Daphnia pulex: one gene and its partners. The protein of the gene in region 1 interacts with the protein of each later gene in a biochemical or structural test. Links are inferred from orthologs where the notes say so. Each region holds a gene or a part of one and is shown on either strand. Other genes may lie near its edges.

Region 1 (3,033 bases):
CCGTTCCCGTAAATGCCGTTCGGTCACACGTCGCCGTTTCTATTATGGAATGTTTTCATTTTTGGTTCTTTTCTTGATAGTTTATAATTACCTCACGTCAGAAATCTTTCTGCACCAGGTAATTATCAAACGTGTTTTTATATCTTCAATTATTTCTGTAAATTAACGCATTTGAATCACACGCAAGATGGATCCTCGAGTGAACGTGAGAGCTGGACGATCCAGATGTTGTCTGGCGGGCAACACCAGTGGTTCCGACATGTGCGGACGACCAGATTGCCTATGGCCGTGTCCTTATCCTGCCTTGCAAGAACACAAACATTTAAATGTTACTCAGGACAAGGCGTTTTTTCACGAAACTTCCGGCGCCACTTTTCTCAACTTCCGCCAGGCTTGCGTGGTCGAATCGCTGGCCTTTCACAATCCCAACTTGACCGTCCACCTCCTCATGACGGGCAAGCATTTAGATCTAAATTCAGTGACGATGAAAACGCTGAGGCTCAACTACCCCAACGTGCAAATCACCAGCATCAATTTGGGCGACTACATGGTCGCCACTCCGCTGGAGCGTTGGTATTTCTGCACAGAGTGGAACCGTGGATGGTACGCCGTGGCCCATCTCAGCGATGCTCTACGATTTCTGACCCTGTCCAAGTACGGTGGATACTATTTCGATTTGGACGTGATCCAACTCCGACCCGTGACTCCGTACCGGAATTTTGTGGTGGCCGAAGATGGTGACAAACTCGGATCGAGTGTCATTCACGTCGACCATCAACATCCAATCATTCGAACTGCTGTCGAAACATTTGCAGCTGATTACAAGTACTAAATAATTTAATAAAAAACCTTTAGTGATCTCATTTTCAATAGAATTCTTGATAATACAGGTGGTATGTTTGGTCTCATAATGGGCCCGATTTGGTAACGCGGATCCTACAAAATTGGTGTCAAGTTTACTACATTAGCTGGATGACTCCGGAGCGATGCCAAGGGTTCCGGATTTTAGCGCCAAAGTCATTTTACCCAGTGCACTATCATCGATGGAGAGATTACTTTTACAAACGTGGCGACAAACCAGTGGATAAGGTGAACTGGGACGAGTCTGTTGTCGGAGCTCACGTTTGGAACAGCATGAGCTCTCATTGGTTAGTCAACAAGAATTCCAATCAGTATTACGCGCAGATGGCGCGTTCTTCTTGTCCTCTCATCTTCGAAGTCGCACCCGAAGAGTTTTAAAAAATAAATGACTTGTAAATTTACTACATCTCTTATCAAATATACACCTAGTTTTGGACGGAATTTTCAATCAACTTTCTTAAACGTCAAACAGTGACCTGTCCTGTATTTTGATATTTTCTTCCGGTCGATTGTCGAGACGACGCGATACAATTTTTAACCAACAGATGGCGCTGTTTAAACTTGAAAAAAGGGCGGGCCTTATTTGTTCAAGGCCTGCCCCTTGCAAACAAACTGTCAACAACAAACAAGTCAAACCAAGTGAAATCAAATAAATTGCTACTTGCCTCAGTAACCAGAATGGTCTTATTGACCATACTAAAAAAATTGAAACAGAAAGAGAAAGAAATGCGTCTACTTATGCTGTCAGTTTTTTCTTCAATCGTTTGCTATTCAAAATAACTCTTAAAAAATTGCTAACTTGTACAATTTATAACTGTCTTTCAGGGGCCTTGACAATGCTGGCAAAACCACCATATTAAAAAAATTCAATGGAGAAGATGTCCATACGATTTCACCAACTCTCGGATTCAACATCAAGACCCTGGAACACCAAAAGTGCCGATTGACCTAATTCATTATTCTTACTTTTTAGACTGATGTCTTTTAACAACATGCTTCTATTTTTAAAAGTTACCAGCTCAATATATGGGACGTTGGAGGGCAAAAATCGTTGAGGTCCTACTGGCGAAACTACTTTGAAAGCACAGATGGCCTAGTTTGGGTTGTCGACAGCATTGACAGAAGGAGGATGGAAGATTGCACAAAAGAATTACATTCCTTACTACAAGAAGAGGTAGTTCTTTACTTATTGGTATTTTTAAAACACATTTTTACATTCCTACCTTTTAAAAGAGATTGGCAGGTGCAACATTGCTTGTTTTTGCCAACAAGCAAGATTTGCCAGGGTCAATGACAGCTGATGAAATCAAAGAGGTATATTGTCCACTGCCATCCATTCACTTACAGTTAAACTAAATCACGTTGTAATGACAACAGGCACTGAATCTCGACAGCATTGAAACTCATCACTGGCGTATCGTCGGCTGCAGCGCCATGAACGGAGACAATTTGTTGTCAGGAATCGATTGGCTAGTCGAAGATATCGGAGCCAGGATATTTACATTAGAGTAATGTGTATTCTCTCTCTCTCGTTCTCTCTAAAAGTCAGTACGGGCTGGGAGGTTATAAGAAATTGTGGCCGTCTTAATTTTATAATGTACAATCGATGAAAAGAATTAGACAGACCGTGGAAAAAAAAGGCAACAAAACAAAACGGCATTCATTCAATTATTTTAATTAACTATCTAAATGGTCCTGGAATATTAATTTTGCGAAGCCTCGATCCTCCAGCGGTGTGGCGCAAAACGGGCATTTGCCAATGAATCCGTTAGTACCGTGAGGAATAGGAATAGCTCCCCAGTATCTATAATTGTGTTTGATAATAATATAAGAGTCGGATCAATAAAAAAAAGGCCAAGTGTGCAAATTAAAAAGCGATTGCATACTTGACTGTTTTCTCGGAAGCCATATGACCGCAGGGATTGAACGCGTACGTGGGTGGTTCGCGATCCACCCAAAAGGCTGGTTCGAGACCCATGCTGAGTTGTGAGACAGGGCCAACTTTAAGGCAGATGGGGCATGTTCGATCTTCTCCTTCTTTCCCCCAGTGATGCTGGCCCTGAACGTGCCCACATTTCAAATAAACGTACGGAGTCTGATCGGGCGGCGGTAAAGTCGACTTTCTCGGCAACACCAGCGTGTTCAAACCGACTGGACACTGCGGTTTGCCTG
Region 2 (4,159 bases), on another chromosome or scaffold:
AACTGGTGATATTCTCTCCTTTGTTTTGTCCCGTCTTATTATTAATCCTTTTGTTTTTCCTAATGTTTTGAACATAGATTGAAGCTGTACGATATCCTTGGGAAGCCGTCTTCTCCGTTGAGCTGGAAATCAACGAGCTCGACGAATAACATCATGTAATATCCCCCTCTCCATTAGACTTATTGTTTTTCTTTATTGTTACTTTGCTGTACACGAATTCTGTGCGAAGTGCAATTATTTTGTTTCAAACGTGAGCCTTTTCAACTTCTAATTCATTACACAATGTGCATTCAGATAATAAGCAATTTATAACAAAACTATTATTCATGTATTTTTTTATTATTACTGCTTATTTAAAACACAAATTCACTAAGCATGTTTCCAGAAGGGTGACTTTGTTTTGGTATTCAAATATTTGTAGAGCTTTTTGATTCTGACATTCAGCTCGGCCCACTTTGTTGGATGGGTGATAGGGTAACCTTCCTTTTGAACAAATTTCCTCTTGCGCAACAGGACCTAAAATCAAGTTTGAAACAAAATGGTCTGGTATACTATTTTCTTTCAGATCTGGAGTTTAGTAGTACCTGATACTCGTTTCCTTTTACTCCTCTTAACCAGTGAGGAACATTGTAGAGCAATTGAGTTGGGTGTAAGGTCTTTTGAGTGATTTCATTTGATGGGCCAAGGATATCGATGTAGTCATTCTGGCCAAAAAGTGCTCGTTTTTCATTCCAGCTGTTTTTCGGCTTGTAATCTGGTATGGGTAATCGTTTGTCCTGGTAAGCTGTTCTGGGTAAAAGACCACCCTTGAAAATTTTGTCTTCATAACCAAAACGTCGGGGAACTGGTCCTTTGGCAACTTTATCAGCGTGGAAGCGAAATCGCACTGTGGTCCATTCTGGACTGAACAAAGCTACAACTTTTGAAGCTTGATTAGCAGTTCCAACTAATGAGCGATATTTCAGAGTTGCACCAAGAGTGGAGATCATGGAACCTATCAGAGATGTCATTTTTCATGGGGTTTGACACTTTGACCTAAAGAAAAATATTCACAAATAAATTAATTGAATAGTTAAAAGCTGAAAGCGTTAAAAGTTCTCTTTTTTTTACCGGTAACTTGCTAAACTTATTTATACACGGGATATAATTAAATAAAATGACTTTAGAAACCAACTAGTTGAAAACATGCAGAGCAGACGACGCAATAAGCGTTGCGGAACATGTGCCGCACTATCATTAAAACGTTAACACGTTAACGGCCTGCCAGGGTCAGAGCCATACACCATGCCAGAGCCCCAGAGCTATAGACTCCTCTGGTTAAGTGTTAAAGGAACTTGCTAGCAGCTAGTAAGAGCTAAGCTTAATAAATTTAACAAGTATAAGGCAATATAAGCTATAAGGTATAGGCTACCGACCGGTTTTTTTTTAAATTATTCATTTCCACAGAGATTTTCACAGTTTAGATTCCTGCTTTTGATAAATACAAATTACTGCCGAAATCATTTGTTGACATTCGGGTTGCTGTTTACTCATACCCTCTTCTTCTTTGACAACTTTTTTGAGAAATCAAAATGACTCTAGAAGTTGCAGATGAGTGCACAGAAAAAGAAATCGATGTCATTGGACTTGGGTGCTCAAAAGAATCTTTTACTGAGCACTCGGAGGTTGAAAAACTCATTGACGAACTGAGGACGTCAGCCCAACATCAGACAAACCAAACGGATATTCGTTTAGTGGAGAGAAACTGGCAAAGGTTTTCGTTCATTCTAGATCAATACCAAGAGCAACCACATTTGATCGATTCACACCTTGATGGACTACTCACTAAAATCATCAACATCATTCGCGAGGAAGGGCTGGATTATGAGGTGAAACATGTGGCCTTCCGATGCCTCTACTTTATATCGAAAGTCAGAGGCTACAAAGTTGTAGCAAGACATCTTCCTCACGAGGTAATGTACTATAGAGTTTCCCTGTGATCTAATTGTCTAAATCAAAATTCTTTCTAGACTGCCGATCTGGAGCCTTTGCTACATTACTTGGAAAACCAAGACCCTGGTGTGCAACTAAAATGGGAGACTCATTACGGCTTGCTTCTGTGGCTCAGCATTGTAGTTAAAATCCCGTTCCACCTTCAGCGATTTGACACCAGCACTTCAGAACCAATCATGGAAAGGTAAGAACAATTTTTTACAATATTGATGTCTTTTGAATCAAGATGAGTTAAATGTCTTTCAGAATTCTGAATGTCTGTAAGAAATACCTGGCTGGGACAACAAAAGCTCAGGACATGGCCTTTTATGTATCGGCAATCTATCTTACAAGGCCTGATGTCAAAGATTCCTATCTACCGGGATTCATCAATTGGGCTCATGAGGTGTGCCCTTTTGTTTTCAACTTGAAAATAACTGTCAAGCTTACTGTTTTCATTTCCAACAGGTTCTTACCAAAGATAGTGCCCAGTTCAAAAAAGGAGTTCTTTCAACGTTGGCCGGCGTATTCAAACATGGGCAAAGAGAACAAATGATGGAGCATGCACATGCTGTGCTGCGTACCATCCTGACGATTAAATTTCAACCGTCAGAATTGCTTATAGTTAAGAAACCGTTGGTGAAGCTGACGCAGCGAATAGGTGAGCCCCTTCTTCGATTCATTCAGCTGCAAGTAATTAAAACGTTTCATGTATTTCTGAATGGCAGGTTTGATATTTTTGAAACCTCGCGTTGCCTCTTGGAGATACCAGCGGGGCAGCAGATCATTAGCTGCCAATCTGCAACAGAGCCAACCCGTTGAGACTAAAGCAGCTATTTCGGTGAATGATGAAGATGACGACGATTACGACGTGCCGGAAGAAATCGAAGAAGTACTTGACGAGATCCTGCAAGCCCTCCGAGACAAGAACCGTGAAGTCCAGTACTGAATTTAAATCTCTTTTCATTTGTTAAAGCAATCCTTTGTCATGATAATCTTATTTTTTACAGGTACTCTGCAGCAAAAGGCATTGGTCGGCTGACCAGTCGCTTATCAAAGAACTTTGCCGACCAGGTTAGCTTAATATTAATATGAAGACGTAATAATATCAACCTTATTCATTGTTGACTTTGTTGTTGTGTGGCTTACATTCAGTAATTCTTGTATCTCTATAGAAAACACTGAACAATACTATTATTATTACAACGATTTAATTATTAATCAGGTAATTGAATCGATCATGGAACTTTTTTCTCTCCGGGAGTCGGATATGGCCTGGCACGGAGGATGTTTGGCTTTGGCTGAATTAGGTATCGTTGTCTTAAATGTTGAAAAGTATATCTAAACGCATAACTAGATGTCTCTCTCTTCTTCATTTTTTAGCCCGTCGTGGATTGTTGTTACCCCAGCGATTGTCTTCTGTCTTGCCTTTTGTGGAGCAGGCCATGCTGTACGATGAGTTACGCGGTAACTTTTCCGTTGGCTCGGCTGTACGTGATGCCGCTTGTTACCTCTGCTGGGCTCTTGCCCGATCCTACGACCCTTCTCTGCTCCAGCCATTCGTCCATCAGTTGGCTAAAGCCCTAGTCATCACCACCGTGTTCGATCGTGAGGTCAACTGCCGACGGGCTGCCGCTTCTGCCTTCCAGGAACACGTCGGTCGACAGGGCACTTTCCCTCACGGCATCGACATCCTCACCACCTGCGATTATTTCGCTGTTGGCTTACGTAAAAATGCCTATCTCCAACTCAGGTGAGTTTCATTCTGTTGCAAATTCATTTCATGCTGATAACAATTCTCTTTTTTCTCCAGTCTTTTCGTGGCGCAATACGAAGAGTACCGACCGCATCTCATCCAGCATTTGGTGGATCGTAAAGTCATCCATTGGGACACGGTTATTCGACAGCTAACATCTCAGGTATGGCGTGGTGGTGCAATTGAACTTTGCTAATTGAACTGCAGTTGTTAATCAGAATTTTTGTTCAGGCCTTGCATCAAATAACGTTCCTCGATCCGGAGAGTATGAAAGTGATTCTTTCTACTCAGATCCTTCCTCGTTGCACAAACCCTGAACTCTATTTACGGCACGGAAGCATTTTGGCCAGTGGCAAAGTCATCAGCGCTCTTTGTCAAGTGGCCAAAGACCATCAACGTCGTCTGCCAGATGAACTTGGTCAGTTACCGCTG
Region 3 (3,484 bases), on another chromosome or scaffold:
AACTCCGTCACGCACTCCTCCGCTAATTGAATTTCAAAAAGTTCTTCGAGAGCGCTTTCCTACGCCTTTTATCACTCCAACCGAGAAAAAGGCGCGTCGAGATGTCATACGAACCCTACGATCTCATCGTCGACCTCAGCTTTCATCTTGGAATGTCGTTGAGACCACATCCCCCGCTCGCTCCTGTAACTTACGGAAACAGTTGTTTGTCGATACTGATTCACTTTCTAACTCTGCAAATTTTTCATCGAGTCCATTGGCCCTGTACCTTTCTCCTGATACTGAAAAAGATACTCCCAAATTCTCTTCGCCCGATGGCCCATCACCTGCCTCATCTAGAAAATCTTCTAGGAAAAGTTCCACGTCAGAAAATAAAAAAACTAAATCGCCTGTCAATGAAAATAATGAAGAAAGTTACACTGAATTGAAGAAGTCGATCGAAGGCAACCTAATGGGATGCGAGGCAAGTCTGTCAGATGTTGAGCTAATGGATGAGATTGAGTCGAGCATCAATATGGACAATGATGTCATTTTTGTCGAATCGACATATAAAACAGATGATCATGCGGAAATTGAATTTATTATCCCGGAATCATTTCCTGTTATCTATCAGGATGCCAAACTTGATGAATCATCGAAATCATCTATTCATTCTGCCAACAAGAAAACACTAAGTCGATCATCACAGGAAGAACGTAGAAGAAGCTCACGATTAGCTGGTATACCTTTACCTCTAATATACTCAACTGAACCACTGCCAGACTGTCGAAGGTCGATCACCTCTAAAAGGACACCACTTCAGCAGCTCACTTCTTCAAAAGATAACGAAGTTCTATCCTCTTCTAAGAAGAAACTGCGGGCTGAATCTGTTGATGACCTACCGATACAGCCAATTACGAAAGAAACACCAATTGCAGAAGCAACTCCTCCTTCACAACTGGATGATCGTCGACAGACGGCGAGTTGGAAACAGGTTCGTTTGCAAATTCCACCTTGCTGGGCCGATCTTATTGAAAACCACATCAAAGAAAATCATCCGGACGAGAAGCTCTGGTACCAAGAAGAAGCATCTGCGCGCTGGCCAATTGTTTATTGCAACTGTGCCCAATCCAAGAGAGATTAGATTTCCCGCAACCGCTGGCTTAATCTTTTGTCAAATAGAGAAATCATCTATTGCAACAGAAGTGACAAGTATTTTTTTTTTTTTTTTGATAATTCCATATCAATTTTTGTGCAACAGAAGTGTCAATCTGCCACACCCCTATTTGGTTCTGTGTTCAGTTTTATTTTTTCGCGTATCCCATATTTCTTTTCGTATAAGATGAGAAACAATGGGTCCAATTATATTTTGGTTTACATTCGGTTTATTTCCAATCCAGCAATAAAACTCGTTCAATTTCTAAAACTTTCTTTCATGAGTCATGACTTTGCATTTTGGTATCGCAATACAACCATGTGGCAACGTCTAATGGAATTTCTTCTTATACTCTCGTCTATTGGTTTTTTGTTGACATCAAGAGAGTTGTTACTTGGCCGAGTACCCGGTGGCGGCTCTATATATATAATACGACTTTGTATTGATCCAAGATACCAATCAATTATCCTTATACAGAAAGTTTTACCCCATCTGTGTGTGTGCGGTTGGTCGGCATATACACTTTTGAAAGCGAACTCGTCCGAATCGGGCCTGCAGTCCAAGTGCTGCAAAATTGTATATTGAATAAGGGATACGTTGAGGTGGTCGCCGTCGTCCTCGTGTCGACTGGCCTGCGATTGAGAAGATCTGGAATCGAACGTAATGCCTTCCAAAGCCGAAGACATACTGTCGGGATTCAGAGTGTAAGTTGGTTTTGTCTCTTGGTTGTTTTCATATTTTGGAAATTAATTTAATTTATCTCATCTTGCAGGAACTGGATGAGTCTACGAGAAGTAGACACCGGGAAACTGCTGTGGCAAAACTCTGATGATTTGTGAGTTCTACTATATATCAATTTTAAAATTAGAAAGAAATAATCTATAATATGCTTTTTGACACTTTGTTTCAGGTCCCAGCCTGATGTTGAACATGAAGCCCGAGTACCCAAAAGTATTTTGAATTGCAGAGCCGTTTCAAGGGAAATTAACTTTTCCTCAATAGAACCCCTCGAAAACTTTCGACTGGAACAGAAAGTCCTTTTCAAGGTAGGAGTTTCCCATTTTTGATTTCGTGTTATAAAAACATGTGAGAATCAGAGAAATCTGAAACTGGATGTGTTGTGTTGAACTATAGGGAAGAGCATTAGAAGAGTGGACATTTGATTTTGGATTCGTCATCCCAAACTCCACAAACACCTGGCAATCAATAATTGAGGCTGCACCAGAATCACAAATGATGCCTGCACAAATTTTAAAGTAAAACAAAATTTATGCATTCTTAAATCAATTTGATAGAGAAATTAAAGCCAAAATTATTTTTTTGTTTTGTGCAGTGGAAATGTGACTATCGAAACCAAATTCTACGATGACACCCTTCTAGTCTCAACATCAAAAGTGAGGCTGTTCTACGTCTGACCCGATCTCTGCGTTTTTTCCCATTATTTTGTCGTCTCTTCATTTCACGTTCTCCTGTTACGTCCTTATGGCGATGGAAATAAGCGAAAACCGGCATTTTGAAGCGCTTTTTTACACAGTCTACACGTCGTGTGCCATCTCCTAACGCACCGATTTCGATTCGGTGCGACATCGCTACAATTCCGCTCACACACAAAGCTACACACGCTATTTGTTCGCGATCACCTGCCATACTTCTCGGTCAATATCTCATTTGCTGCTGCCGCTGTTATTCCTGCGCTCCACATTTTACCCGTTGACTGTCGGTACTACATAATAAAAAGACGATTCAATCGGTGTATAAAACTGGGAGCTCATGTTTATCCTTCGCGATCGGGATTTCTGATTTTAGGTAGATGCACCCATGCTATCGAAACATGACGGTCCCGTTTCAATGGGTGAGTCGGCGTTGTGTTGTGCGGGTACATCAGGCAAAGTGGATGTCGTTATTGAGCGGATTATAGTGATCTACTGCGTTGCCCACGTCTTCTGCATCTGCCTCTACTTGACATGGATAGCCATCCAAAATGCAATTATATCCCTACCCCCAGCCTCTCTCTCTCTCTCCCATCTCTTTCTAGTCGATAATTAGATTTCCTCGAGCTCTCCTACTTGTCTGTGTTCCTCGAGCTATGGTTGACTAGTAAATTACATGTCCAGCGGTGTAGAGCACAGTACTCGGTCGTGGGTCAGCCAGCCCCCCCCCCCCTTTTTATGGGGCGATATTTGAATTATTAGAGTGCGGAGAGGATGTGTATTATAGTAGATGGGGTGGGGGGTATCAGGGGAAAGATGCATAAGTGTGTGTCCGTGTGAGAGGCGCAAAGAAGAGATGAAAGGCGACATCACTTGGAAACCATAAGGAGGAGGAGTTAGGCGCATGTTGCTGACTTGA

The links.
Region 2: the proteins of ADP-ribosylation factor-like protein 2 (region 1) and tubulin-specific chaperone D-like form a complex in vitro, tested with the Homo sapiens proteins (2 studies listed by BioGRID and IntAct). The link is inferred for Daphnia pulex from reciprocal best matches to the Homo sapiens genes ARL2 and TBCD.
Region 3: the proteins of ADP-ribosylation factor-like protein 2 (region 1) and retinal rod rhodopsin-sensitive cGMP 3',5'-cyclic phosphodiesterase subunit delta-like are reported together in a solved structure, tested with the Homo sapiens proteins (2 studies listed by BioGRID and IntAct, with this or other methods). The link is inferred for Daphnia pulex from reciprocal best matches to the Homo sapiens genes ARL2 and PDE6D.

Annotation. Positions count from the first base shown.
Region 1 is NC_060021.1:207,233-210,265, reverse strand, and holds ADP-ribosylation factor-like protein 2, read left to right. Parts: upstream 1-1,442; 5' UTR 1,443-1,539; coding exon 1,540-1,604; intron 1,605-1,686; coding exon 1,687-1,797; intron 1,798-1,872; coding exon 1,873-2,035; intron 2,036-2,094; coding exon 2,095-2,175; intron 2,176-2,238; coding exon 2,239-2,373; 3' UTR 2,374-2,515; downstream 2,516-3,033. Other genes in the region: lactosylceramide 4-alpha-galactosyltransferase-like, read left to right, coding at 1-118, 188-825, 891-1,239; protein pellino-like, read right to left, coding at 2,539-2,665, 2,748-3,033. UniProt on the Homo sapiens protein: Small GTP-binding protein which cycles between an inactive GDP-bound and an active GTP-bound form, and the rate of cycling is regulated by guanine nucleotide exchange factors (GEF) and GTPase-activating proteins (GAP).
Region 2 is NC_060024.1:14,104,781-14,108,939, forward strand, and holds the start of tubulin-specific chaperone D-like, read left to right. Parts: upstream 1-1,254; 5' UTR 1,255-1,571; coding exon 1,572-1,952; intron 1,953-2,009; coding exon 2,010-2,176; intron 2,177-2,238; coding exon 2,239-2,377; intron 2,378-2,439; coding exon 2,440-2,632; intron 2,633-2,699; coding exon 2,700-2,913; intron 2,914-2,981; coding exon 2,982-3,045; intron 3,046-3,196; coding exon 3,197-3,281; intron 3,282-3,354; coding exon 3,355-3,724; intron 3,725-3,784; coding exon 3,785-3,890; intron 3,891-3,958; coding exon 3,959-4,145; intron 4,146-4,159. Other genes in the region: serine/threonine-protein kinase 11-interacting protein-like, read left to right, coding at 1-5, 78-149; 39S ribosomal protein L51, mitochondrial-like, read right to left, coding at 370-516, 585-1,010.
Region 3 is NC_060018.1:861,757-865,240, forward strand, and holds retinal rod rhodopsin-sensitive cGMP 3',5'-cyclic phosphodiesterase subunit delta-like, read left to right. Parts: upstream 1-1,496; 5' UTR 1,497-1,798; coding exon 1,799-1,839; intron 1,840-1,907; coding exon 1,908-1,970; intron 1,971-2,045; coding exon 2,046-2,181; intron 2,182-2,269; coding exon 2,270-2,391; intron 2,392-2,468; coding exon 2,469-2,550; 3' UTR 2,551-2,895; downstream 2,896-3,484. Other genes in the region: uncharacterized protein LOC124188871, read left to right, coding at 1-1,123. UniProt on the Homo sapiens protein: Promotes the release of prenylated target proteins from cellular membranes. Modulates the activity of prenylated or palmitoylated Ras family members by regulating their subcellular location.